2 linked regions of the Sus scrofa genome follow. The protein of the gene in region 1 interacts with the protein of each later gene in a biochemical or structural test. Links are inferred from orthologs where the notes say so. Each region holds a gene or a part of one and is shown in the gene's direction. Other genes may lie near its edges. The genes, in order: HDAC3 and NR2C1.

The links.
Region 2: the proteins of HDAC3 (region 1) and NR2C1 form a complex in vitro, tested with the Homo sapiens proteins (4 studies listed by BioGRID). The link is inferred for Sus scrofa from reciprocal best matches to the Homo sapiens genes HDAC3 and NR2C1.

Annotation. Positions count from the first base shown.
Region 1 is NC_010444.4:143,272,663-143,275,345, reverse strand, and holds the end of HDAC3 (histone deacetylase 3), read left to right. Parts: intron 1-1,511; coding exon 1,512-1,731; 3' UTR 1,732-2,158; downstream 2,159-2,683. UniProt on the Homo sapiens protein: Histone deacetylase that catalyzes the deacetylation of lysine residues on the N-terminal part of the core histones (H2A, H2B, H3 and H4), and some other non-histone substrates.
Region 2 is NC_010447.5:88,229,568-88,234,008, forward strand, and holds the start of NR2C1 (nuclear receptor subfamily 2 group C member 1), read left to right. Parts: upstream 1-1,621; 5' UTR 1,622-1,944; intron 1,945-2,247; exon of another isoform or gene 2,248-2,690; intron 2,691-4,441. UniProt on the Homo sapiens protein: Orphan nuclear receptor. Binds the IR7 element in the promoter of its own gene in an autoregulatory negative feedback mechanism. Primarily repressor of a broad range of genes.

The DNA of each region.
Region 1 (2,683 bases):
CCTGTCCTAAGCCCTGGTCACTGTCAGATTACCCACTGAGCTCCTTTTCTTTGCTACCTGGAGCTCCATTTGCAGAATCGTACTGAGAGTTACCACTTTTTGTGGGTTTGCTAAGCAGAGGAGTGAGTGCTTTATATTAAAGTACAGGTGATACATGTCGTCGTGTCCTCATTCTCTTGCCATCAGACAACCCTAAGAGGTTGTATCCTCCTTAAATTACCAGAAGAGGAGGTTACATAACTGACTTAACAGAGGTCCCACAGCTAGTCAGGTAAATATCAGGGCTGAGATGCAAAGCTGAGTCTCTGAGCCTCACCTTATAACCCTGGTGCCCTTAGAGGTCCCTCAGACTTTGCTTTCCAGGCAGAGGGGGCCTTTCCTGCTTGGGTCCCCAGCTTCTCTTTGATGCCTTTCTCCCTTCTTTCTCGCTTACCAGCTGTGGGCAAGATAATTCCATTATTAGTCATTCCCGTTCTCCCAGAGGGCAGTTTTCCACACGCACGAGAACGGCGTTGAATACTCATTGGGCCTTGCATTGCTTTCACGCTCCTTTGCTCTCTAGAGGTTTATTGGATGCCATGCCTCTGTTTAAAGCGCTTCTTTCCATTGCACTAGAAGAAAAGCCAAGTTTCCTTTGTTTTTTTTTTTGGTCTTTTTGCCATTTTCTAGGGCCACACCCATGGCATATGGAGGTTCCCAGGCTAAGGGGTGGAATCGGAGCTGTAGCCATCAGGCTACACACCACAGCCACAGCAATGCAGAATCCGAGCCGCGTCTGCAACCTACACCACAGCTCACAGCAACGCCGGGATCGAACCCACAGCCTCATGGTTCCTAGTCGGATTCATGAACCGCTGAGCCACGACGGGAACTCCTAAAGCCACGTTTCTGATGGTGGCTTTCTAAGGACTTGCGTGCTGGCCCTTCCCACGTGCGGGCTCCTCTCTGAGGCCCCTCCGCCCTCCACACGTCTGACCGTCCTGACCCCCTTCTCTTGCTGGAACCCGTCCGCTCCGTCGGCCTTCGAACCTCTGTACTGGTGTCCTCACGGGTTGGACCGCCCTTCCTGGGCGGCTCCTTCGCAGGGGAAGGTCCTCCCTTCTTCCTCCAGCCTTTCCTGACAATCCTGCCTGAGGTTTTCCCCTCGTCCTCCCACACTCCCAGCCACGTGCTTTCCCCCCTGAAATGACCGTGGTTATGTTTTTACTTTGTTACTTATCGTCAGCCTCGTTTATTGGAGGGGTTTTTGAGGCTAGGCAGCCATTCTGTCTGGCTTGCTCTCTGCTCTCTGGCTATGGCAGTGCCTGGCACAGAGTGCTCTCTCAGCAGGTGTTTATGGATGCATGAATGGGCGTGTGAATCCTGACTGGTCGCTACGAGCAGGAGGAGAGGCGCGGTTCCCCGACAGCGGGGGCCTGGGAAGTGGCTCCAGAGAGGGTGCCTGTGGGGGAGAAGATGGGAATTGGAGAGTGGGAGCCTGACCTCTCTTCCTGTCTTTCCTTGCTTTGTAGGCCGGAGGCGCCCAATGAGTTCTATGACGGAGACCATGACAATGACAAGGAAAGCGATGTGGAATTTAAGACTGACTGGGCTTGCCGTGTCCCCAGGAATTTCTTTTTTCCTCTTAGTTGGGTGGGAGGGAAAGGTGTGACTCCCCTACCCCTGGTCTGGTTACTTTCAGGGCAGTTACCAACACCGGGGGAGGCTTTGGAGACCACCTCTGGTTCTTGAACCAGCTGTTCCCTTTCTTCTCCCTCCAAGGCTAGACCACGGTACCTGTTAGGGATCGGATGGGGATAAGGATAGACGTCTCTAGGACCTCTCGGGCCGTGGGCCCTAGAGGCCAGTCCCAGCCCTTCTGGCTTCCTCATTCCTTCTCTGCTTCCCTCCAACCCAGAGACTTTGGGGATGAAGGAATAGGCAGCAGTACGGTTGCTTCTGACGTCCACCTCCCCAGGCTTCTCCTACTGCAAGCCTTGCTTCCAGGTGAAGAGTAAGGGATTTTAGGGAGCCCTGGCCCCCTAATACTTTAACCCAGATAATGGGAAGTGTGACTTGGAAAGGGGGGAGGATATGAAAATGTCCTGCTCTAACTTTTGGCTTTATGTCCATTTTACCACTGTTTTTATCCAATAAACCGAGTTGGTATTTTTTGTACCTTTTGCCTTCTGGGAATGTTTTTTTATTTTTTGGCTTTTTTGCATTTTCTAGAGCCGCTCCTGAGGCATAGGGAGGTTCCCAGGCTAGGGGTCTAATCGGAGCTGTAGCCACCGGCCTACGCCAGAGCCACAGCAGTGCGGGATCTGAGCCGCGTCTGCAACTACACCACAGCTCACGGCAGCGCCAGATCCTTAACCCAATGAGCAAGGCCAGGGATCGAACCTGCAACCTCATGGTTCCTAGTCGGATTCGTAAACCACTGCACCACGACGGGAACTCCGTGGGAATGTTCTTAATTCTTGCTAGCTGTCTGTGCACGAAGAGCGAGGAGATGGGTTAATATGTATATAATAAAAATCATGGTAAACATTCATTCTGCACGTACGTTACCTTAGGACATGTGTATATTATTCCATGTGGATGATCTTCCTTGTATGTGGAGGGTTAACAGAGCATTCTAGTCAAGAGTTAGACAAACCTGGGCAGAGCAGTTACTTGAGGAGGAGTCGATTCAGGTGTTGGA
Region 2 (4,441 bases), on another chromosome or scaffold:
TGTGGGGACTAGGATGAAGGGGCAGCTCTCTTTTATATGAGTTGGTCTTAGCACATGAAGAACCAATCTTGAAATACTATCTTTTTTAATGACATAGATTTATAGAAACTCTTTTTACTTAAAGTGATAATAGTTTGTATCTTATTGTTCATATAGAGATATATAGATCCTTTATAAATAAAATATTAGCACTGTAAAAAATGTTCATTGTATTTATACAAAATAAATTTACTAAATCGACGTTTGGTGTGATGATGTCTCTTAAACCATAATTTTTTGTAGTCACTCATTTTAAAGATGAACCACACAGACCTGTTTTCCTGAATCATAATTAGGGGTAGCTCTCTTTCACTCATACAATATATTCCCAAGCTGGCTTCTACTTTCAAACTTTATTAAGTCAGTTTACCATGACTTAGGTGAATTAATTGGATGATAAGGGGGTAACCCCATATTAGGCACTGAGAATAGAGGAAAGGTCTCAGATTGCCTTTTTCCATTGGACCTACAGTATCCTTTCTTAGTTGTCACCTTTGAGACTTAACTATCTGATTCCAAATTTGACTGCCTGCAGGAAGGGCTGCCTTAAAACCACCAAACACAACAAATGATACTAATAGGAAAAGGAGACTTTGGAGAATGAGACGAAAAACATATTTCCACGTGTTAAGGGTTGGTGCATGCCCCTTTTGTGTCCAGCTGCCTGGGTCCAGAGGAAAATGACAAAAGTGATGTTCTCCTTCTCAGCTCACTTTTGTTTTTCCAGACTTGGGCTTCCTGAATCCCTGACTGCTTTTCTAGTGCCTATCAATACTAAAAGAAAGCTCTTAATGTGAAAACCACACAGGGCAGCTCTTCCTGCTACACCGCCATGCTTCTGGTAGTATCAGAATGTGTTCCCTTGTGGCTAGAGTTCCCACCCTGGCTCAGCGGTAACAAGTCCGACTAGTATCCATGGAGATATGAGTCCAATTCCTGGCCTTGCTCATAGCCTTGAGCTGTGGTGTAGGTGACTCAGGTCTGGGATTGCTATGGCGAAGGCCAGCAGCTACAGCTGCAATTCCTAGCCTGGAAACTGCCATATGCCAGGGGTGTGGCCATTAAAAAAAAAAAAAAAAAAAAAGAATGTGATGCTCCGTCAATGCCTCTTCTTTTCGCAAATGTTTATTGCCCTTTAAGCACTGTCCTATAAGCTTGGAAACAAACCGCTGAGGAAAACAGACTAAAGCCAGTCTTAGGAAGATTACATTCTAAATGATTTAGAATATAATCACTAGCTCCGTTTGGCCATTAAACCTATTTATTCACAAGAGTTGACTAAGTAAAACTTCGCCACATACAGGATTATACCCCAGCTTGTTTTATTTAAGGTAATTTAAAATATTTTATTGGGATGTACCCTATTTTGTTACTCTTCTAATAAACCTTTTAGTCTAAGGTAAGAGAAAGTCTGTTAACAGAGCCAGATTCCCACAAGTTAGAAACCGAACTGTCATAAAACTGATTCGGTCATTTATTTTTGCCAAAATCGGATCTTCCTTTACCACCTTTTGCAAACGACGCTAAACAAGCGGCTTCTAAAAGTGCCCATAGGGCTCTGGCAGTGCAGTCTCCCTCCTACCCGATAGGGGGCAGCCAATTATTCAGAGGCTGGGTTCTCTCATCCACCCAGGGAACGTCACGACCTCCTCTCGCCACTAATGCGCAGGCGCGGGCGGGAGCGCGCAACGAGGAGCCGAGGGAGGGGTCACGAACTCTGACCCCCCCACAAATACACAAACCCCGAAAGCTCCCTGCCCCCACTTTTTAAAACCCTTCCCCCTTAGTTTTCTCCAACCTGCCTCTTCCCGGAGGCCCCCCCCCCCCCGCAGCAGCCGCCGCAGTGGGACTGTCCGGTCTACGCCCGGGGAACGTAGCTCGGCAGAGAAGCGCCAGTAAGAGCCGGTGAGGAAAAAAGCGGCCGTAGCCGCGCCCGGGACGGGGGGCGTAGGGCACGGGGAGGTCCTTTCCTCCCAACTGCCAACGGCTGCGTCCCCAGTTCCCGCAACAGCCTGCGGCTGCAGCCGGTAGAGCCCGCCCTCTGGCAGCGCCGCGCTGCTCGGGGCGGGCTGGGAGCGCGGACAGCGGCCGGAGCGGCGAGGCCGACTGTGCGGGGCTCCGAGAGAGGCCGAGGCCGTAGCCAGGGCCGGGCACGGGGCCCGGAGCCCAAAGAGGGGCCGGAGTGGCGGGCGCGAGAGGGAGTCCGCGAGCGGCTGGGCGCGCACGGCAGCCTCTCCCGCGGCGCCTCTGACCTTTCACCTACAGGAAAAGCTTCCGTCTCGGCGCCGCCGCCGCTTCCCCCGCCTTGGGGAGTCGAGCGCCACCGCCGCCGGGCCCGGGATGCAGCGTGGGCTCGAGCGCCGGCGGGACGCTGCGGGGTCCACCTGGCCACTCGTGGGCGCGAGCCGAGGCCCGGATCCCTTTCCCCGCGCGGGCCTCTTACCTAATTCTCGTGCTCACCCAGGGCAGACGGAATAACGCTTTCAACTTAAGAACGGATGGGGCGGGAGTGGCCGCTGCCTTTGGATCTGTATCTTTTGCGAAAGAATGGATCGGCCGAGGGTCCTCCCTGAAATGGGCATGTCCAAGCTTCCTGGAGCTCTTTTGTTAAGAAACTACCTCCAACTCCTGCAGATAGCGTTTGTTGAATGGTAAATGTTGCCAGGTTGTCTCGTAACCTTCACCAAATAGGTCACCTGTTTAAAAAATAATGCGAACTGGAAAGGAGAAGCAAAAGGGGTTGAAATTAAGGCCTTTGGGGTTTTGTGCCTCCTGAACTTGTAAATAGACCTTCGACTTTGAGGTTTTTGAACAATGCCTGCTGCGCGGTTGGTTGGTACACAGTGATTGTTTTTAGCTTTTGCTTGTGTGTCACTTTGGTAGATCTAAAAGAAATATTCCTGTTAATTATTTTTAAAAAGTGGATCACATGAGATACATTTTCATCATTCTTTGTAGGGGCATTTCCGTCTTTTTAGGGCGGGTTTTGAGGGAGGCACAAATCAAAGGCGGCAAACATTTCCAGAGTAGCTACTATCTGTGGGTCTTGTACACAAGGAATATACTTCCTACCCGTGGAGAATAGAAAAAAGAAACTGCATGTAATAAAGGATGAATAGTGTATATAATTATACCTTTTTTGAGCCATAAAGGACCCTCTCCAGCCTCTTAAGATCTTTTATGAAAGCCATGGACTGTCTCTAAAAAATGTACTTTTACATAAAATTTTGCATGCTATATGAGAAGTAAAAGAGAAGTCTCTTCTTGAATCCTAGTTAACCTTAGTATGCACAATAAATGCTGTATCCATCTAGAAAGATTGAGTTAAAAACAAACAAAAACATTAGAACTGAGTTTTAAAGGTCGAGGTAATTTAAATGCAGGAGGAGGAGCTTGGAATTGTGTATTTGGGAATAAGAACATTCCACTTTGTCCTGAACAGAGGCCCCTTGGGACTGGTAGGAGTTAAAAATGAGAAGATGAGGAAGACAGGCTTTAAAGGATGCTCCTTTGTGTCTGCAATGGCAGGCATGTTATAGGAACTTAGGAAATATTGAAAAAAATCCAGAAGGGCTGAAACTTTATTCTTTGACCATTAAAGAGGCACTCACAGTTCTGAAGCGGGAGCATAGGATGTATTTCAGTTTTTTAAGCATCTCAAGACCTTGCTCTTGGTCACATATGCTGACACAAAGGTGATTCTCGCCTTGTAGGGTATTTTCGTACACAGAGTTGTGTAAAGTAAATATTCATCCAGTAAACTCAATTCTGGCAGCAGCTGAAATTATACTCAAAGGATTCTTAACTTGAAAAATCCTTGGACTGACCACAGGAGGTTTTATGAGCCCTTTGAAATTCGGCATGTACCATCATTTGTAGTGTGAATGAACATAAACTTGTTTTCTGGTGAGGGAGACCTTAACTTCCGTCAGATTTTCAAAGGGATGTGTGACCCATCCCACCAGAAAAAAAAGAATCCTTGTCTTAAAACCTATTTTCAAGCTTTTTTTGACTGCCCCACAGAAAAATAAATTTTGCATCATAGCTCGACCTCAACACATACACACAGATTAAATTGAAACGTCTTCACGAAACTGTTCTTAACCCTCACTGTACCTGATGCAGTGTTTTCTATTTTAATTTCCTCCTCCCACTGGCTGCACCTGCTCTATGGAAGTTCCCTGGCCAGGAGTTGAATCAGAGCTGTAGCTGCACGCCTACACCACAGCCACAGACATAGCAGATCCGAGCAGCATCTGCAGCCCAGCCTCAGCCTGCAGCAATGCCTGATCCTTAACCCAGTGAGCGAGGCCAGGGATCCTCACGAACACTATGGCATGTTCTTAACCTGCTGAGCCACAGTAGCAACTCCAAGAGAACTCCTTAATTTACTTTTTTTTAA